Struthio camelus: one gene and its partners. The protein of the gene in region 1 binds, or shares a complex with, the protein of each later gene. Links are inferred from orthologs where the notes say so. Each region holds a gene or a part of one and is shown on either strand. Other genes may lie near its edges.

The links. The genes of interacting proteins can lie anywhere in the genome.
Region 2: CHCHD6 (region 1) and APOOL share a complex: the UniProt entries of both Homo sapiens proteins name them as parts of the mitochondrial contact site and cristae organizing system (MICOS) complex. The link is inferred for Struthio camelus from reciprocal best matches to the Homo sapiens genes CHCHD6 and APOOL.
Region 3: CHCHD6 (region 1) and MICOS13 share a complex: the UniProt entries of both Homo sapiens proteins name them as parts of the mitochondrial contact site and cristae organizing system (MICOS) complex. The link is inferred for Struthio camelus from reciprocal best matches to the Homo sapiens genes CHCHD6 and MICOS13.

The regions. Positions count from the first base shown.
Region 1 is NC_090955.1:7,730,283-7,737,275, reverse strand, and holds the start of CHCHD6 (MICOS complex subunit MIC25), read right to left. Parts: upstream 3,020-6,993; 5' UTR 2,996-3,019; coding exon 2,798-2,995; intron 1-2,797. UniProt on the Homo sapiens protein: Component of the MICOS complex, a large protein complex of the mitochondrial inner membrane that plays crucial roles in the maintenance of crista junctions, inner membrane architecture, and formation of contact sites to the outer membrane.
Region 2 is NC_090952.1:17,433,029-17,440,076, forward strand, and holds the start of APOOL (MICOS complex subunit MIC27), read left to right. Parts: upstream 1-4,048; 5' UTR 4,049-4,181; coding exon 4,182-4,193; intron 4,194-4,235; exon of another isoform or gene 4,236-4,360; intron 4,361-5,128; exon of another isoform or gene 5,129-5,310; intron 5,311-5,931; exon of another isoform or gene 5,932-6,308; intron 6,309-7,048. UniProt on the Homo sapiens protein: Component of the MICOS complex, a large protein complex of the mitochondrial inner membrane that plays crucial roles in the maintenance of crista junctions, inner membrane architecture, and formation of contact sites to the outer membrane.
Region 3 is NC_090967.1:7,958,765-7,966,363, forward strand, and holds the start of MICOS13 (MICOS complex subunit MIC13), read left to right. Parts: upstream 1-4,599; 5' UTR 4,600-4,698; coding exon 4,699-4,727; intron 4,728-5,922; coding exon 5,923-6,079; intron 6,080-6,830; coding exon 6,831-6,882; intron 6,883-7,599. UniProt on the Homo sapiens protein: Component of the MICOS complex, a large protein complex of the mitochondrial inner membrane that plays crucial roles in the maintenance of crista junctions, inner membrane architecture, and formation of contact sites to the outer membrane.

The DNA.
Region 1 (6,993 bases):
TATGATGGAGAACAACTGCACAACCCTCCTATTCGCATAAGGCCGCAACCAGTTTTGCGACCTGAACTTTATTTCCCGCTCCCTTACTTGGGTCCCAATCCAGGAAAAGGAAGGTAAAGCTAACTCAAACTTTCCTAGAAGTTCAGTCCAAGGGGCTTTTCACAGCACTGTAAGATTGACCCCTTCTTTTGCACCACGGTCAGTGTCTCTGTGCTGCCAAAAAACTGTAAAACAAAATGAAATGAGATCGAGTTTCCTTACCTACGCCAGCCACAGTCTGACAGCACTGAGCACAAAGTGGATGTCGATGCTGCCATATCTAACAGCATTGCTAACGTCTTCACTTACCATGCCAACTTCTTGGGTCTTCTGCCCTCCCCCCTTACACTTTCGCTATATTCAAAACACACATATACATGCGTAGTACCTCTGTCAGAGGATCTGAACAAAGATAGCCCCAGACATACAATACCCACTACAAGAGAAACCATGCGGCAGTAAGGATGTCTTATCAATGACAAGGACAAAATTCACAGCTTTAGAGAAGCGCCCTTACTTCCTCTGGGGCTGACAGGCAGGTGGGGATGAACTCCAAGTGCCAACTGTCATATTTGAAGCCTGGGGGCAGTGCTTATTTATTTTAAGAGTTTAAGAGTTTAATCTAACTTTTTAAGGAAAAATCATTCTTATCAAATAATACATAACACTGCTGCTCAACTTAAACCTCAAAGGTAGTGGATATCTCAAAAATAATTCAGTTCTTTACAAACTTTATGAAAATCAGCAGCGAGCTGAAGAAAGAGTTCCATATTAACACCCCATACAAGCAACCACAGACAGGACTTAGCCTGTGGCCGTTCTGCAGTTAGCCAACACGCACATACAGGCTAACACACAGCGCTACGCGTCAGTCTGAGAACATGCTCCCTCTCACCCGGAGAGAGATGTCCAAAAGGAATATGGGAAAAAAGCATCTATGGAAACTGGCTTTTAAAACCAAAAAGCTGTAAGAAGCCAGTCTTTGTTAACTGCAGATTCAGTGGAACTACTTTTTATATACAGCCACAAAAAGCAAATAATCTCTTTGGTACTCTAAAAACAAAGAATGACTATTCTATTTCACAAAACAAAACCAAAAAAAAGAATAAAACATTTCTACTTCAGGAAGTCAGAGATCTAAGATGACGACAGCTCATTTAATCTAATCAGGTATCATGTGATACATAGTGCTCTCTTCATTTTGAGCTCCTAGAGGTCATATACAACCTATAGCAGCAAACCCACATTTTTCTCTAGTTCCATCACTATGCAACTGACAGAGAAGCTAACTAAATTAAAACAATTTGTTTTACTGCTTATATGACAGGTGGAGTTAAGCCCTGAAAGGGCCTCACCTGTACACTGCAAAGAGAAATGAGGCAAGAACGACTTTACCTGAAAGCACCTGTAAAGGGAGACTTAGCACAATTCTAGTTAACGTCTGTCAAGTGACTGATTGTGGGGGAAAAATAAGTAACCACAGCAAAACTCACTCTGCAAACTCATTTCAGAGGAATTTTAGGAAGGGGAATAAGAAGTAGATAGAAGTATAAAGAAGCAACAACACTGAGAATCATGGTAGAAATAAAGTAGAAATAGCTAAAGAGAAACAGGGAGAAAAAAAAACAGAGGGGAAAAAAAGGCACCAAAAAGAATAATACCATCACCTCTTTCTAGAGCTGGTTTTCATGACACACATAGGTAGATGTTCAAATCAAAGTTCAAGAAGCAGCTTCCCCACTGGCCCTTCTAGAAGCACCCCTACTCCTCACCAATCCCCACAACCTCTTATCACCCTGCGTGCTTCATTAAGGGTCTAGGTAATATTATTCAAGGGCAGGCAGCTCTCCTCTTGGATGCTTTCAGAGCCAGCCAGTGCTTCCACCTTTTAGCATCAAATTGCTTGCAAAGCAGAAGGTGGCAGTGAAGGGCACATTAAGCAGTAAGGAGAAGGGGAAAGAGACGAGAGCAAAATTTGGAAGAGGATAAAGGATTAGCATCTCATCTCTCAGGAAAGGCCAAACTCCAGCAGTCAGCCCTCTTCACTGCCACTACCCACTCCCTTCAGCGCTGCCTTCCACTTCTCCTCCCTCTTCCTTGCTGGTTTTCCCCACTCACTCCTTCCTGCAGCACATACTGCATCCCTAGACCTCCCCGCCCTGCTCTGCCTCAGTTCAACCAGTGCTGCCCCCAACAGCACCTCCCTCAGGCCAGCTCCCTGCCCCATGCAGCCCCCAACCAAGCCTCCCCCCAGGCCTCTGGCACCTCTCTCCCCTGCACCTGCTTCCCCCCAGTCTGTCTCCCTCCGGCCTCTGATACCCTCTGCCTCCCAGCCCTCCAACACCCCTCTCCCCTCCCAGCCCCTCTCCTCCAGCCTCTTGGCTCCCCTCTCCCCCCCCCCGCCCCTTTCCCCTAGGCCTCTGACTCCTCTCTCCCCTCCCAGCCTCCCTCCCCCAGGCCCCTCTGCCCCCCGGCCCCTCTCCCCTTCGACCTCCTCCTCCTCCACCCCCTCTCCCCTCCCAGCCCCTCTCCCCGAGGCCCCTCTACCCCCCAAACCCTCTCTCCCCTCCCAGCCCCTTTCCCCTAGGCCTCTGACATCCCTCTCCCCTCCTAGCCCCTCTCCCCGAGGCCCCTCTGTCCCCCAGACCCCCTGTCCCCTCCCAACCCCTCTCCCCCAGTCCCTCTGCCCCCCAGCGCCCCTCTCCCCTCCCAACCCCTCTGCCCCCCCAGGCTCCACAGTACTCCCAGGCCGTCTCACCCTGATGCCTTGCAGCACCCGGACTTGCTCCCGCTCATCCAGCCCGAAGGAGACCTTCCTGCTGCCGTGGCTGCTCTCGCTGCCCCCCATGCCAACGGGGAGGAGATGGGGGGGGGGGGAGTCTCCCCCCCTCTCACACCGGGACAGCCGCTGCGAGCAACACCGCTCCCCGCCCCCCTTTCCGCCGCCTGCCAACATACCCGCCCCTCATTGGTGGCTGCCTCCGGGGGCGGCCAATAGCGCGGCGCGTTGCTGGCGGCCAGCGCGGTGCAGGCTGGGGGTTGTAGTCTCGTGCGGCGGCCGCCGCCCGGGTTGGGGGCCCCGGGGGGCTCTGCCGGCGCCGTCCTTCCGCGGCGAGCCCAGGAGATGCAGCAGACAGCCGCGTTCCCAAACCTGGCCCTCCGTCGCTTGTGCCAGGCAAACCTCCCTCCCCTAAAAACTCAAACTGCTTCAGGAGGAGTTAAAAATAACAATCCTAGCACATCAGTTTGGAAAAAGCTACCCTCAGCAGTAAACAATCTGCACCAAAGCACGTTCAGGTTCAATTTCTGCCCCTCGGCTCTCCTGCAGCTTCCCCTCGGGAGTGGAGGTGCCGATCTTGCCCACTTTTTTATCATACTACCCCTTACACTTTCACTTTGATACGCCAATATAACGGGTTTCTTTACTGGGCAAAAATTAGCAGAGGAAAACAGCAAAGAAGCCCAAATTAGCACACAGTAAATGAATAAAAGTGGAAAGCATAGAGCTTATACTTTAAGATATTCCTTTAGATTCAGGAAATTGGACGAGACAGACGAGCACCCACTGCACGCGACCAAGATGCTGCCGGCTGTGGAAGATCCCCAGGGCGACAAGCCCTTACGGGGGTCCAGGCAATTTCCCCCCTCACCGTCTAGGCCCCGTGCCCCATGAGAGCCCACCTCCGGCGCCGAGCACAGGCATCCCCCTCCACCCCACCGGCGCACCCCGTGTCCCTCTCTATCCACCTTTTCTCCATAATTGTTGAGGGAATGCGTCATCACCCCAGCGCAGCTCACGTTTCTCTGATGATGAAAAACAAACATAGGCTACAGTCAATAAGAATTACAGTCAATTTTATGGCAGCTGCTTTGCAGGCAAAATTAATCATCTCCTTTAAGCCAGCAAAGACTTAACAGTTGTAACGTTCCTTGCTATGACAGGCACGTTCCCAGGTGCCATGTAGATGAGAGCATCGCACTGTGCTCCAGGTCATATAAACCCTCAGCAGGATACAGACCCTGCCTCCAAGCGCTTAGAAGCTGCAGGCTAAATGAAGGGAAAGAGAAAGAAGATAATGTAAAACACAAGCAGCCGGAGCAAGAGATAGTAGCTTTTGGAGGAGCTTTTCCTAGCAGTACAGGCTACATCATGCCCTATACAACTCTGTGCATTTGTAGCTAGACACTTACTGAAGCCTTGCTATCGACACACTGCTTTCCTACTTACTAGTTGTGTGTTAGAACAGCTTTCACTGTGCTTAATGCTTACCCTTCACTATAATTAACATGGAAACCACCGGTTTGGCTCAGCAATGGGACTCCGGCCAGGTCTAAGGAAGGATCCCCACTCCCTCCCCAAGAAATCCAGGCCTGCAGCATATTACTGAAAGGGAAGAATATTTTTCTGTTACTTGGGTTAACACCTAGCACATTGCAGACTTTGCTTATTGCTTGACCTCTCAAGACTAGAGCACTACAAAACGGTACTATCAGCTATTTGCACTGCAGCATAGAAATGCTGCGCAGGGTCAGAGAGCAGGTCTGGCTAAGCCAAAACTCTGCTTTTGAAAGGGACAACAGCTGATATCTAGGAGAAAGCATGAGTGAGGCAAGAGCATAGCAATTCCTCCCAGAATATTCTCACAGCCTCTCATTTATTTTTAATCTGCCACCCACCAATTTCATTTGATGGCTCCCAGTTCTTGTACTGAAAGAGCCCCTGAACAGTCATTGCCTGTTCACCTCCTCTGTCCTCTCAGGATTTCAGAGACCTTTACTCTTGCTCTTCCAAGCTGATGAGTTCTCAATCGTGTAATTGCTTCTCCTACAACCCGCAACTTTAATTATTCTGTCACCCTTCCTTAGGCCTTTTCCAGGAGTAATTCCAGGTACAACTCCAGCCAGGTGCCAGGCAACATCTGCAAGGATGCAAACATAGCAGGAGGGGGAGCGTGCAAAGAAACAAAAACACAATTCAGACCTACAGCTGTGCCTTTCTGTGATCTCCCAGAGCCTGAGAATACTGAGGTGGAAGCAATTGCGATGGTGGCAGAGCACCTGTACAGTAACTCAAACCCTTCCCTTATCCATGTGAAGAGGAGCAGATGATGCTGTCAAGTTAACTCCTGTGGTTAGCGTCCCTCGGGCAACCCCTACAGTTTTTTGCAGGTAGTCTGGCAGGAGCTTGGTAAGGTAAGGCTAGTAGGCTTTACTGCACAAAGACCTGACTTAACTCTCAGGCTAGAGACAAAGCTTACTCCATTTCCCCAGCCTGTATGCTCCACCAAAGAGCGGCTGACAGGTGCTGGCTACTGCCAGCTCTTAGCTGTTACATCAGGCTACTGTCCCCTGTACAGCCAGAAAAATTGGTCCAAATACTTAAGTGGAGTTCATTTCAAAGCCCAAAGGAAAAATAAAGCGTACAACAGTCAACTCATAGTTCCACACGAGCCCCTTTCCAAGCAAGAAAGACTGGCCTATAGCGGAGATCCCTGATGCCGGACATGCCAGGGAACAGCAAGATCTAGTTAACAGGAAGAGTCAGAGCTTCACTAATTATTTAGACCTGGAGACCACTCTCTGCACTGTCAGCTGCTGTCCTAGTAATAGACTTCCAAGAACCCAAAGTCTCCAGCTCTGTCATTCCATTAATATCCACCATATTTGTTCAGGGTTTTATCTTTTGCTTTTTAAAAGAAAAAATTCCAAAAATATTTTCCCCCTTAACATGCGTCACTTGAGAGAGAAAGTAGGACTATTTATGCCAAATTTAATTTTATTTCTTTATTTTACAAACAAAAAATATACATTTACTCTATATTTAGTCTCTTTGCATCTCCCTCCCCCCACAAACACATAACACACTTCTGCTCAAGGACCATTGTGAATATGGCCCAAGGCATTTATATACATAAAAATACAACAAGAGGAAGGTCAGTCCATGACCTAGTGCAGAAACTCCTCAGCAGCAGAATGTGGGACGCTCCAGAAACACTGGAGTCCTGCCAACAAAGGAGAGGATGGACATGTTGACCACCTACCAAGGCGATCCTTCAGCACTGAATTTAGCCGATAAAAAGACAAATTCATAACCTGCTCTTCACATCACCAAGGAGGGCAGGCAAGTCCTTTCAAATTCAAGGTGTTCAAGAGGCAGCAAATACTCCTTGGGATGGGAAAGCATTTGCTCCTTTATTCTTGAACTGCTTCAAGACTTCCACATCTCCTGGCCCTGTCCAAGGCCCACCAGCTCCAGGGAAGCTTTGCAGGTTTCCCCGTAGTGGCTAACAGCAGCTCACTACTGGTGTAGCTGAGCAGCATTAGGAGCAGCAGCAGGGCAATTCAGAGACCATGTCATCCATCCCTTTTACAGTAAGCAAGTAAGTGTGGCTCAGGCCGATTCACAGCAAATGATGGGAGGAGCATAGAACATTTTTCTGTGCGGCAAAAAGCTCACCTGGCCAGTTGCTTGTCCACCCTTTACACAGTCATTGCACGGAGGAGAAATGTGAAAGGCTGTTGAACCACATGGTATAACTCAGCTCAAACATATGGACAAACGGAAGCCTTTTTTCCTTAAAAGTAGATTTAAAAAAAAAAAAAATGTATTTAAAACTGAGGGGAGGTTTTTTGTTTTTAAGGTGTCAATGCTACTTGGAAGCCTGCAGGGCAAAGTCTACAGGCAGCAGAACAGAGAGGCTGCATTGCTCATTAACTAAGAAGATAAGCAAAGGGCCTGCATAGTTTTGGCAACCAATATGCACTTTGTGCTCTTATCCAAACTGTTTCTTTCCTTACAGTGGAAACACCTGGTAGCAAATGCTACTACCTAGTAGCAGTGTTTTGCATGATCCAAACTATCACTGCACTGTTCCCTCCATGAGGATTTCCTAAAAAACTCTTACCTCAATATTCTTCTTCAGGAACAGGAGAGTTGGGGAAGAGATGCACACA
Region 2 (7,048 bases), on another chromosome or scaffold:
GGCTTAGTTTTCAAAATAGGGAAATTGGGCATTTATAGGCAAGAATGGCACAGGTCATAGTGACGTCTTTGTCTTTGAAGTGCAGGTTTGTAGCAGACTTTCCACATACCACATGCCTTAGACCACTGAGCTTATAATCTCCTTAGAGATAAGCTCTGTTCCATATTGCCAAATAATGTTTATTTACCCATAGTACAAAAAATGGGTAATAACAGGAAAGATTTAAGGAGCAATATTAGCTAAATATTAAGTAACATAAAGTTCTTTTCCTTCTAGAATATTTTCCTCATTAAACCTAAGGTTCAGAGTAGCTTTTTCAGGCACCTAGGTTCCCCCTCTGCTTTTATCCCAGATGAATTTATACTGTGTGACTGAGGCTCTCAACAGGTGCTTACTTGATAGGCATCTAAAAATCAAACCTGAGCCATACTATCAGGTGATGAACGGAAAATACATTGTTACTTAAGATCAAGTCGTATTTTCTCAGTTGATATTTGAAAAACTATTTCCTTAACTCCCATAATATATAAACATAGTACTTTAATTCTGATCAGTTCCATTCACTAACGTACAGGCAACCGATTCTCTATTCTTGACATAACTAACAGATGAGGAAGCATTTTTTAATGGAGACTTACTTTCTGCATGTTACAGTTGATACCATACTTCCATATTTAGAAGAAGGATTAAAATAAATACTAATATTTTTATCACTTTTTAAGATAGCTGATATACGACTGTGACCTAATAAAACTTAATAAAAGTATTAAAAACTTTTAAAAAGATACTGCCTGTCATTATCTTCCGGAAAAAAAAATTGTATTTGTGCTTAATGCCGGCCAGTCTTGAGGAGACATTTATAACTTGTTTACTTTTATTCAGATACATACAAGCAGTAGATGTGACAATTAGGGACTTTGCTGTATGCATTAATACTACTGTCTGAGCAGTTTTTGAAAGAAAGCTATGTTGTACAAATGATAAAATACATGGACAACTATATCGTTTGACCAGAAATGCCCACTAGCTTCTGTCCTCACGTTTCTAGAATATTACTCATTCTCAGGCATTGGTGAGGGGATCAATACAGACCTTTTTACTAACTGTAAATGCATCTGTCCGAATGCTGCAGATTAAATAAGGTTACCACATTATACATACTAGCTCTATTACATTTTTTCACTAGCAACCACAAAACAAGTATGTCTTAATCAACAAATCTTGTTCACTGGCCAAAATAACAGTGAGACCCTGTTACCACTTAAGACTTCTGTTTTACTGAGAAACAAGGATTTCAACTCTAAGAATCTAAAAAGCAGGTTAGGTTACAAGAGAAGTGCACTAGTATTAATGAACTTTTTACATTTGACACATACTGTATTACAAAGAAAATATCCTTGTAAAAGACCATTAATTGCTGGGCCATAGGTGACTTCTGTCTAGTTTACTAAAGTAGCTAATAAAACTTGTATAGAGAGCCTTTTTTAGATACTGCTTACATGTATGAAAATGTTTGACACCCTTGTACTATGGCTTGCACTTTACTTGCATTAAACTGTGAAGTAGGCTGTAGTAATGTCTTTGTATATTCAGGGGTTGAAATACCAAAGCACTAGAATGTCATACTGCTGGTATTCAACCTGTACTGTTAATTCAATCTGAACGTGCTCACAATGTGTATTTTGAAAACCCCACTAACTTAAAGTCTTTAGCAAATAATGCTATGGGGTCTCCATGGTCTTTTTTCTTTGTAAATAGAAACATTCTTACTATTTCTGTAGCAATAGGAGGTGATAAACCAAACTTTCACTAGGACTGTTTTCAATAACAAAAAATTCTATAGCGCCTTGTATAAAAATCATGGAGACTCCATGACTCGTGGGCATTTTTTGTTTACAAGCAGTATGTATATATGTGTTAGAGGCAGAACTGTTATTTATCACAAAGTTATGTTGTGGTTGATTCTTTCTAAAATAAATATATGTTTTCTGTCATTAAGAAAAATCAGTATTTTAGTAAGAGCCATCTTGAAAAGAAGTTTGAAGCCTCAAGTCTTCAAATATTGTTAGTAAATCTTCCATGTTTCAGCTTTGTTTATCTAATCAGCAGGGAGATGAACTGAGAGGTAATAGTAAACTATCTGTCTATGCCGGGGAAAATGTCTGAGTTATATCATAGTTCATGAATATTCTGAAATTTTTATATAATTACCATGATGCTTTAAGCCCTTTCATGAGCAGGTACTACACCCATACTGTAGTAAAGTCCCTCAGCTCATTGATGCTACAGAGACAGAAAATTAACTGCTGTAGACTAATACAGGTAAAACTAGGTTTCAACCCCTGGATAATACAGTATTTCTTCAGTTTCACAACAGTATTTTTAATTTTATACTTGTCTATGTTGAGAGATGATCCAATAGTTTATATAGGCAATGAATGTTAGGTTTCTTTTTTCCTCTTCAGATGAGTTCTGTGTGAATTACAGTAACTGGCTGCATTTTTTCTATCACAGATTAACTTGTTAAATTTTTGTGCGTCTACAATGAAAATCTATGAATGGAAAACTTCACTGTGTGTTGCTCACTGGGCATATACCTCATGGTACATTGCACAGACGTGTAAGTTGTAAGTTGCACTGCAACATTAAAAAAGGAACATATTGCTCTTTTTTCAAAGATATTAACTTATTTAAGAGATATAGTCTGTACATTATTTAAAAAAAACATTTATTCTTCCTAGATTCAAACAAAGCTTTTGTTTTGGGGAAAAAGTTGTAAACTTCAGTTGTAAATCTGGACTTCAATAAACTGAATTATCTGCACTTAACTTTTGTGCTTTTGTCTTTTTTTTTTCTTTGCGTTCTCTAATAACTATAATTAAGAAGATTAATCAAATTCAAGCTTCAGTCTTGGATTTGAATTGGGTGCCCATGAAGCTATAACCATTTGATGCAACTGGTGCTCTGAATTGTATTGACTCTATCTTCTGTTCTGTTGTAACAACTGAAACTTTGGCTGGTTAACATGAATAACCCTTCAGATAATTTTTCTAGCCATTTTCTTGGTCAAATCAAATAGTTTACATGAGTGTTTCTTTCCCTTTCGTGTTTTAAAATATGGATATTTAGGATTTGTACTTTTCTGACTAAAATACAATCTCCAATTCTGGCACTGATGTTATGGGGAGAACATCTTCTGTAAGTAAGAAGAAAACATACAGTTATCACAGAGATGTAAAACTTGTTGCATCAAAGACTGCTACAAGAATCTCTGAGTGTCTCTAAAGGCAGCATTCGGAGCTCATACTACCTAGCACCCTACAAACTGTACTTTTAAATGGCATGCACTTAGTAAATGCACAATTAGACAAAGATGAACTGAGCAGTGATTTGAAAGGTATCAGAGCAGAGCTGCTGTTATAGATTGTTCAGCAATAACTGTATATGCTTAGTCTTAGTCTTTGGATGTTAATTTTATTCCTGTTAAAATACCTTGAATGTTGAGGTAAAAGGAGAATTTGCTGCTTGAAGGAATTTAAGCATCTTGTAGTGTTTATAAAGTCCAGTAAAGGTTCCCAAGTGGCTCCTGAGAAATCCCACGCCATGTCTTCACGTGACTATGGTTAACGCAGAATTTAGGTCATGCTTCTTTGGACTGACGTGGGCTTATTAATAGGACAGTTACCTGCATTGTAACTAACGCTGCTGTTTAGTGCGTACAGAAGCCTTTTGCTTTGTTTTTCAGAGGAGAACGGGGACACAAGTGTTGGAGGCAGTGCTCCCTCCTGGGCCTAACAGTCGCAAGAAAGCTGCAAAATGTTAATTGGCTGGAAAAGGCAACGGCATCTGTAAACCTTCTCTAAGGGAAAAAGAGCCGACCAGCTTCAGCGGGTTCTGGGGCGGTGAAGTCCACGTTCCCCGACCTGCTGCCCCGAGGCCTCCGCGCTCCTGTCACGGCCGCCAGCCCGCCGTTAAACCGCCGCTTCCGGGCGCCACCTCCCCTCGGGGCCCCCTTCGGCCCCGGCGCCTGCCCTGAGGGTTCCGGGGCCGGCACCACCGGGCCCCGCCGCCGGCCCCCGGCAGCAGCCGCAGCCGGCCCGCGGCCCCGGCACGGCGAGCGCGGGCGCTCGGCCCTTCCCGCTCGCCGTACCCGGCCGCGCGCGGGCGGCGCTGTCGCTAAAATGGCGACCAAGGTGAGCGTGGCGCCCTGCGGGGAGGGAGCGCGGGGTCGAGGGAGGGAAGTGCTGCGGCGGGCCCCTCGGCCCGGCCTCCCTCCTGCCGCCCGGAGAGCCGCAGGGCTCGGGGGACGCCTGAGGCCGCGCCGCGCGGCTTCTCCACCGCTCGGGAGCCCTCGCCGCAGGTGCTGCCCGGCCTGCTCCCTGTGACGGCGGGCCCGGGCGCTCCTCGCCTCCCCGAACCGCTGAGGCCTCTTTCTGGGAAAGAGGAAGGAGCTGCCGGGCTCGGCTCCTCCGCCGGCGGGGCTGCCTCGGCCGCCGAGCCGTACTGTAAACTCGCCGGGCCGGCGCGGGGAAGGCTGCTGGGGCCGCCGTGCCGCGTGTCACGCTGCAGTGATGTTAATGCCCAGCGTGCTGCTCCCTCTGCACAGCCTCTCCCAGTGCTGCCTTGGGGGTGTCTCCACAGCTTCTTTGCTCCAGCATGGGTGGGATTAGACGGCTGCAATAACTATTTTGGTTGGGGAAATCCCTTCTGCCTGTTACTGAGCACTTAGATGAGAGAAGAGTAGGAAAGTAGGAGGTGTCAGTACCGCTTCTCTCCACGTAGAACTTGTGGTAGAAAGAGCTGGTTCCTGTGCGTGGTTAAATTGTAGAAGAGGGAGTAAAAAGCGTTGCTTTTCTGGTTTCCTCCGCCTTCTGAAATGCTTTAAAGCCCTCATTCGAGAGGTGGAATAGTATCCAGATACTTGTTTAGTAGTAGGGTCATAAAGCAGGGTAGTGGTATACATCACTAAAACAAGGATGTTAAAATCATGCCATTACAAGCTAACCGGGTCACAAATGTCTAAAATAGCTGTAAATGTACATAATATACTGTATGTAAACAGGGCAAAATGTACCTGCAGAGATGACTTTCTCTCAGATAATCAAACAGGTTTTCATCTGTTTCTAAGGAATAGGTTGCTTGCACACGAGTCTTCTTTTGCAAAGCAATTAAGATGTGTATATACCTGCAGAGGAAAAGATCATGCAGACAAAGGTAGCCAAGGGAATGAAGACGAACCCTCTTACAAGACGCACATAAGTGAAAAAAGAAGCTGTAATTGGCTTGATAGCATGTTTAGATGGTCTTCAGGTAATGTAGCTTAGTACATAAATTTGAATGATTCAGTATTGTTGGTCGAATGACATAATTTTCTGTGTATTGTTTATTATTTACTGTGAAAAATTTTTTTGTTCTTGTTGATTTTTCAGTCAGCATAGGTTACTCTCTGGCAGGCAAAGATTAAAAATAAATGTAGAGAGCATCAGTATGCTGAGGCGCGGAGGAACTGCAGCTGTTCCACCTATATGTCTTTTTTTCTATACTTGTTGTTAGAGGCCTGTAAATAAGTGCATATCCAAATTAAAATGTTGGATTTGGCCTAGAAGCTGCTAACAGTCCTCAAGCATTAATGTTGCAGTTTGCTGAGGTACCAGTGTCTCAAGTACATTGCAATTAGTAAACCTTTATTTACAGAAAGTAATAGTGATAAGTAATGCAGTATATACCTGAAATTATATGTGTCTATTACTGGTGAATGCTTCCATAAAATATTGCTGAGCAATGTCAGCCCTTTACAAAGTGTTAACTATTTTAAATTAAATTCTGTGGAGAAACAAAGCTCTTGTTGATGGTCTGAACGAGGATACAGTTTCAGTTAATAAGTTAACTCATCAGATATCTGACTGCAGCCAAAACAAACGTTCCTGCTTTGCCCCTGAGTTGTCAGCTCTGTTTTTGTCTCTCGCGATGGATTTTTTTTTTAAAAAGATACGGATTTCTGCTAATTTAACTGCTTAAGCCAGCTCACTGCAGGGACAGATGAGACACTAGCTGAGCAAGCTCTGAGGTAGGGAGGGAGCAAAGTAGAGTGGTACTACTACTCCTTTCGGTGACAGTGAACTGTATTTCGTTTAAATTACCTTTTGAAACCATACTTGATGCAGTAGCACAAATTTTACAATTTACTGTAAAACAGTAAATAACTAGCAGAGAGTTACGTTTAATTGTCTAATTAAAATTGTCACAGTCTGGACGGAATATGTTTGAATGCTGCCAAATTGCAAGATGCACGTGTGGAAACACAGAATGTAAGCTACCGAGAGTTTGAGAGTCTTCCTTGAAAAGCAGAGACTCAGAGCAGGACTTACTTATGATGACTTCTAGGTGCAAATATTAGTTTTCTTGTCATACTAGATTAAAGGGGCTCATGTAATACACAGGAGGAAGATCATCAGACAGAAACAAGGAAGGAATGTCATCTTTACGTTATTGTAGTACAACTTCTAGAATGTGCTGCGTATAAAACAAAATGTATGCAAAAGCGGTCTGGGGAAAAAGTCTGCAAAACTGAAAGTAATGTAGACAAGTTTAAAGAATCACTTGAATCACTCAAAAAAAATAGAAATTGGTTCAAAGGCAGTTTGGTGGCTTCATATACTTTGATGTAGAAGGAGTATCTGACTATAGGGCATGCATTAAACTTGTGAACAAAGTCAAAATAAAATATGCCATCTAAAAATTAAAACTAGACAAAAATCAGCCCTGATAGTCATCTATGAATTTGCTTTATTGCTTCAGAATTTGATATTCAAAATATTTTTTGTAATTAGAACCAGTTTAATTGTATACCGTATGAAAAGGTACGTTTTTTACACCTGCTTGCATGTAAAGTCACCTGATGCTTCTAATTTCTTTTTAAGCGTACAATTGGAAATTCTGATAAGATATTGGGGGGGGGGAAATTTACCCTGAAGGTGGTCAAATACTGGAACAGGTTGCCCAGAGATGTTGTAGAGTGTCCATTCTTCGAGTTATTCAGATCTCACTG
Region 3 (7,599 bases), on another chromosome or scaffold:
GAGGAAGGGAACTTTGCAAGGGTCCCACAGCAGCAGTACAATTTCCCCTTTCATTGCACAGCTGCCAAGGCTCAGCTTGTACCTCTGCACCCAGCCCCAGCTCAGCTGCTACAGCTGGTTCACCTTTCACACAGGCTCAGCAACTTCTCTTTTCCCTCCTCCCCACCCCAGCACCATCCCAGAGAAAATGGGCTATTTATGAGGGGCCAGAGGTAGGAAGAAGGGGGGGGGGGGCTGCAAAATATTACAGGGAAAGAAATTCCTCATGGGTGGAATGTGTGCAAGATTAATGGGGCCCTTTATGCTTCCTTTGTATGGCTTTGGAAAGGGAAGGTTCCTTGCACTAAGGAGCAAAAACATTACAGTCCCTGCTGGAAATGCGGTCTCCACCCTTAGCTTCACTAAGCAGGGGATAGCAAGGGAAAACAGGTTCTGCACAGAAACCTTTTGTGACTGATTTATCCCTTTTCTTTCAAGTCCCTTTTCTTTAAGTCTTTTCTTTCAAGTCCCTGTTGACATGTATGCCACAGCCTGAATTAAAGGCCAAAAGGTCTTGTGCTGTCATTTACAGCAGACAAATTTAATAGACACTAAGCCCCTGCATCCTTGTCTGTACAGGTGAATACTCATTTTAGCCCCCCCACTCCTGGCTATGACTCTAGGTCTTGGGCTGATGGCTAGTGCACCTAAGCAATGGCTCCACATCTGTACATTTCTGTGGAAAGCTCCTTTTGAACTCCCCCAACCATGCTGTTCCTAGCAACATTTACCCCTAGACCGTGGACCTCTGTTACCAGAGCCTCCAGCAATGGCCATCTCAACAGAGCCATTGCCATCATCTCCTGTTTCCATGACAATCGTGAAGGCAGTTAAGAGGCCATGGTTGTCACTGAGGGGAACCATGGGAGATTGTACCCAAATTCCCATGCAGTTGTCCCATAATGTTGAGCTCTGCTTGTGTATGTATGTGTGGTGAAGATATCTATTTTGGGGGTGGGATTGTGTTGTATGCATTGAATATCTGTGCATGTGGGATGATATATACAGGTAGTATAGCCACCAGTCTTACATGTGGTGAATGCCTTTGGACATGCAGGAAGAGTGGTTGTTGTGCTGCAATAAAGACTGATGGAATCAGCATGCGCCTCTGCATTGCACATTTGCAACTGGCATGTGAGAACACAATCGTGTCTGGTGGGTATTACTGTACGTGCCTGGCTCTAGTGGAGCGTATGCTGCATCTGTGCACAGGCTTGTGTGTTTGCTGACCTGTGCTGCATGCTGGCCATGAGCAAAGAACTCAAAAATGAAAGCATCTCTTCCACTCTGATGAACTCCCTTGGATTGCAACACATATCTCATTCTGTCTGTGTTCTCCATGCTTTTCCCCTTCCAGTTTGATTCCCCTGCAAGCTCCTACGTAGCTGCTTTGTGTTAGCTGAGCCTGTATTCAGCTCCCAGTAGAACTGGCCCCTATCCCTGCTCAGGTTCAGGTGCTAGTAGCAACCACAGCAGTTTCCTCCGTGAGGAGACTCTCTCATACTTTCTTCAGTCCTCTGCTCAAAAAGTCCCTAGACACATAAAATCCCAACAGTTTCTCCAGCCAAGGAAAGAACAATTCTGTCCCATTTTGGTGAAGAGTTACAAAACACTTTAACTAAAGGGGCTCTCCAAGCAAATTTTAGCTATTGAAAACAACTATGATATAAAATCAACAAAAATATTATTCACCAGTCTTTGCTGCAGAGACCAAAACAAGGCAAGGTCCTTTTATTGTTGCATGCCCACACATGCACATACATGTTAATTCTCACATATTCACACACCTTCCTGTTCAGAGACAGCATCTGGAGGAAAATATGAGGTTTAAATCAAGTTTATCCTTCCTACAGAACACTTCATAACTGCTCCGTAAGCCACAGCAGCCTTCATGCTATTGTGCTGGGTGTTCCACTTATATCCCCAAAACATCCTCACCCAGGGGACCAGCCTTAGAAGGCAGGCTTGGAGCAAAGCCTGTGAAGACCCTGGTTCCCCTTCTCCCAGAACCATGCTGATGGGTTTGTGAAAGCAGCAGGTTGGGATACTGTTTAGCCCACTATTTGAACCTGTTTCCATAGAGCTGCACCCATCTACCTGCTGATGGTACTCTCAAGCGAGTCAGAGACAAGCTCATCCTGATAAGGAGACTGAATATGTGGGGTCTTGAAGCTGAGCGCCCCAGCCAAAACGCTGTAATCTCCTTCCTCTGATGCTACGAGCCAACCTGTGTGAGGTATATAAAGTCTTTCTGTCCTGCATATATGTGAGGTGCTGGGTAGAACCAGGAAGAGTCACGAGATTCTACCTGAGAAGTCTCTCCGCTAAGAGCCAAAGTCATCTTCGGCAAGAATGGAAGAGGGGGAAGGACATGGACTCTCAATCCTTTGACGAGAGGCTGCAAAGCAATTGCTTTTCCCTGTTGAAGAAAGGGGGCACCACAGTCCTGAAAATGGTTTGCATTCATCTAACAAAGGTGGAACCAAAGGCAGTGGAACTCCCTGTCCAGAGCAAGTAACCTTAACAGGATGAAAACAGTAAAGCTGCAGGGCTGGAGGCAATGAAGTCTGCTGGGAGCCAGAGATGGCAGAAAACAGGTCTGGAAGGATCCTCCGGAAATCATCTCATCCATCTCCCTGCCTTTCTCAGCTACTGTTTTCACAGCCATTCATTTGCTTCAGGGCATCTAGTCTGTCCTTCTGTCTGTCCCAAATGAACTGGACAGAGGTAATTGTTTTTAAAATGTCTGTCCCTAATGGAACACTCCACAAAAACTTGTTGAGTCAGCACAGATTCCTCATTTAAACCCCGATTTGAAAGTCTAATTTTACAGTAAATGCCTTCTGCAATTTGCACTGCTGCATTCTATTTCATATTCTTGCAGACATATTTGACATAAAAATACATCAAATCTGAAATGAACTAAACAATCATCTTTTTCCCCAACACCATAGATCATCTGCAGCTGTCCACAAAAATTTAATATGGAAATAAAATCACACTAACATTTACATGTTCTTTTCCATGCTTACGGATCCCAGCATGCAAGCCGCATGTAAAATGAAACATGAAGCAGGGAAAAAGGTGGAGGATTTAGTTCTGTAATTCTCTCTCTTTAGAATTTGTCCTGCAAAAGGAAAATTCAAAACTTAAGTCAGCATTGGAACTTACTAAATACTAACAACATTCACTTACCAAGGTGAGTATCATTAGCCAATATCATTTCTCTATATTTTCTGAGTTCTTTTTCTGTCTTTAAAAATTCTTTTGCAGCCAGAGCAGTTAGACACAGTGAACACAGGAGGAATTAAGTTTTCAGCAGTTCCAGAAGCTGCCCTTCTGCTAAACTCACTTCATCGACTTCCACAGCTCTGCAAACGTGTTTAAAACTAGCTTACTCTCTCCTCTGTTCTTGTGCGAAAGACTCTGGCAGACACAGGGAAAGAAGATAGGAAAAATGCAATCAGATAAACTATCTTGGTGAGGGAAAAAGAAAGTTAGTGCTCAGTATTCCTCTTTGTTCCCTCTCCCCTTAAACGTTGAGCAATGCAATGGTTAAAATTCACGCAGGGAAGCAGGAGAGTCGGAGCCTTTGGGCTTTGTAGCGAGAGCCTCATTTTGAGACATGGCTGCCTAACCGATATCCTCCCAACCCTAATGACATGTTTACTAACAGCTTGCTCCTGTGGTCGATGACACGGAACTCCGCACCCCAGGAAAGCGCCGCGAGGACAGGAAAAGGCAGTTTGTACACACACCACCCTGGCGAGCACAGAGCCGAGGCTCCGATCCCGCTGCTGACCAGCATGTGCTCCTTCAGGCACACGCGCATCCAGTAAAGTAAGTAAAGCAGCTGGTGCCTACTTTAAAACGCGACTGCTGGATGGGGACTAAGACCTAGGCCAGAGCCAAGGCCGCAGGACAAAGTCCCCTCACCCTGTGCGGCCTGACAAAATGACACATTTTGGGACGAAGGCCTTGGTGCAGACTGATAAAAATGCAGCACAGATTCAAGCGTTTCATCTGCTTAAATATGTGTATCAATAAGCAGTTAGTACACTTCTAGTCCAGGCTGATCTTCCCCACCAGCATTGCCTAGTTCCCAGCTGTTTGCGCAAGAGGGAATCAACCCGCAATTCACCCATTCAGAACTGCAGCGCTCCACACACAACCGTATCCGCGCTTTTCACAACGCTTCATCCTTACTCGATTCTGCACCCCCCAGACGCGCCGTGGAAATTCTGCAGCTGTTTCAGGTAAATGATTAAAGATGAAAGCAAGCAATGCAATCGGTCCTGCGCACCCCCTGTTTTGATTTAATTACCGCAGCCTCCCCCGAGCGCCGGGACCCGCCTTCACTCCGCGGCGCCGCCCCTGCCGCCATGACAGCTACCGAGGCGGAAGTGCCTTCCCTGCTGGTCTGAGGAGACAGGACGGGCGAAAGGAAGCCCAACCGAGTCCTCCTACGAGTCCTTCTCCTTTTCAACCGTTCTTCTTCTGCGCGGGAGGTGCGCCCCCCACTGCAGAGAGAGGCGGAGGGCGAACGCTTCTCGCCTCGGTAATGATGGCCGGGGCGGCCGGGGCCGCCTGGCCACGTGACCAGCTCCCGACGGCCTCCGCGGCGCGCAGCGGCCAGCGTGCGCTGCCCTTGGCGGAGCGATGGCCGCCAGGCTGCTTCCCGTCGTCAAGTGAGTCCCGCGCGCGGCTGCCGCCCGCCCCCGCCCGCCCTTTACCGCTTCTCGGTCCGGTCCGCGCCGGCCCGGCCCGGCCCGGCCGCCCGACTGCCGCGGGCCCGCCGCGGCCCTGCCCGCGCCGCGCAGCTCGTTGCCCTTGATCCTGCCCGCGCCGGCCTCGCCCTCGGCCCGGCCGCTGCCTGGCGCCTCCCCAGACGCCTGGCGGGAGCCTGGAGACCTTCCCGCTGCGGGCGTAGACGCATAAAGTAAACCCTGGGAAGGCCCCGGGGGTACTTGGTTGCCGAGGGAGCCCTTTCGGGCCTGGATGTGCCGCCCGCTGGAAGGGAGAAGTTGTGGAAGGGTGTGTTGGGAGCGAGCAATACATCTTAATCAAAGAAATCCCCCAAATGCTTGTGAATAGCCGGGTTTAACTATCGATTCGCTCCTTCCTCTCTTAGTGGCTGTAGCTATTAAGTGCTCTGCTGTCGTGGTACTGCTCTCTGGCAAGTTCTCTTTTTGCCAGGTGTGCAATTGCTGTTTTTTCAGAGGGGGAAATGCTCTCTGCCCTGTGAATTTTTGGAAAGATGTTGTCTCTCAGGTCTCTTATTTATAGTGAAAAAATAATTAAGGATCAAATATTTTCTTCCACTTTGCGAGTTGCCACTAGTGTTTTCACACCATGTGCTGCACTGGGAAGCTTTACAGGCACAAGCAATGCAGGAACAGGCATGGTCAGATGCTAACTGGACTGTAATGAGCTTAACAAAAGATTGGTGTCTGTCAAGGTAATCTGTGTAGTTATTAGCCAGGCAACAAGAACCATCATAAACATGGATTTCTTACCCACAGCTAAATCTGTTAGTCCCTTTTTTCAAGAGTTTATGTCATAATTCTCAGACTTTCCAAAGTGGCACATATTTAGAGAGTTTTGACAATTTCACCTTTTTTTCTTCACAAGTGTCACTGATGATATGTGAACTGGGGTACAGTTTCAAGGGGCTGACTGGGAATATTTGATCTAGGAAAAAGGGGAGGACAGCTAGCTATCTTTCTGCTGTTTTTTGACACTAATAAGACATCACAGTAAAACATTTGTGACCTTCTAACTGCTCTTTCAACCCTGTTCCTTTGCGTGTCACAACCTGCTGGGAAAGGTGCACTGATATATATAATGTGAACTGACCTGTTCACGTGCTTTTAATTCTTTCAGGTTTGTCATCAAAGGAAGCCTGGCTGGAGCAGCTGTATACGTGGCATATGATCAGGGGCTGCTGGGCAGTGGCACACAAGGTGCTGAAGCCCTCAAAAAAGCTCAAGAAGCACTTCCTCCAGCTATCCAAGAATGGACAAATTACATAGGCTGGGAGGTAAGGACTGTGCAGGTGAATGTAGTTAGCAAACCATACACATTCTCTGAATGAAAGCACTGGGAAGGTATTCTGGTTCCAATGACGTTGACGAAAGTTTTGCCGTTGAATCTGGATTTCACGCTGAGAATGTTTTGAGGAGGATTGAAATGGAAGAAGGATACAATTTTAAACCTAGAGGAGAGCAATTGGTCATAGATCTTATTTGAAAGAAGAGATAGAAAGCCTATGCAGGGATATTTCACTATGTAGTGGTATTCCTAAGCTTTTTATTGGAGTATCCTATGTGCTTTTCAAAAATTAATGAAAAGATTCTCTTCCTTAAAGAACTGTTTTTGTCAAGCTCCTAACAGTCAAGTTGGATGCAAATTACCTGAGTAGTCCATTGTCTTTGAGCAGTCCTTAGTTTTTTAAATCTCTCAGACTAGGAGAAGCCTTTGAAGGTTTGAAAATCATTTTCCATGTTGGAGATTATAATGTAACTGTAAGGAGACAGCTACTTAAGTAATTGAGTGGATGTGTTTTCAAGAGCACCCAAAGGATGAATACTGCCTTCTGCCCCTGCTTTATGCTGTGGGAAAGGTTACTTCGAGACTTTAAGCCACATGTCTGATCCCTTTTGAGACTTAGGACGACTGGGCACCTAAATGTCTTTGAGATCTGAGTTCAAGAGGCTTCTCCAAGGTGATGTGGATTGTGTTATAACTGAAACTCCCAAATGCTGATATTTTGTCTCTATTTCTTTTTATAGCTTCCACCCACTCCAAAATTTGACTTTTCTCCCTCTGACTCCTGGAATAAAGGTAAAATAATTTTTCAGCAAACTGTGAAATGGAGTAAGGGGCTAAAAGTGATCTTATCCTGAAGTCTTGTTTTGATGTTGTCCTCGTAAAGTGAATGGTGAAGAAGGGGTGATAGATACTATAATCTGGTGAAAGGAGCATTGGACTGGGACTAAGGAAGTGTATTCTGCTCCTATTCTACCATTAGCCCACTAGGTGACTTTAGGCAGTTCACTTCATTTCTTGATACCTCGATTTCCAACTATGAAGTGAGGAGGAGGAGATGTGCCCATAAACCTGTCTGCCTTTTCCAACTGGAGGAGCTAATGTTTCTTCTACCTACAAAACTTGCTTTACCTGTGTCCCAACACAGGTATGCCTACGCTATGCCACAACATGAGATTGAATGTTTCAGTAGTGTTTGGGAGTCTGTGGTCCCATGAGAACTAGATACAGTTTATGCACCAGTAGGGTAAGTTCATCATTGCAGATATTGATCAGGGAAACGAGAGCGTAAAAAGAAATGATCACTTATTTCTGAGAATGCTGAATCTTTATGTAAGGTTGAAGGGTGTATAAATTCTTAATACTACTAGTATGTCTGAATTCAACCTCTGATCTTTTCAAAAGGGATGAGTGTTCTTGTTACTGCTAGAATTTTAGAGAGGACAAAGCATGTTATAAATATCTTGTAAGGTAATTCAGAATTTTTATGGTGCAGCAAATAGTCCTCATGTA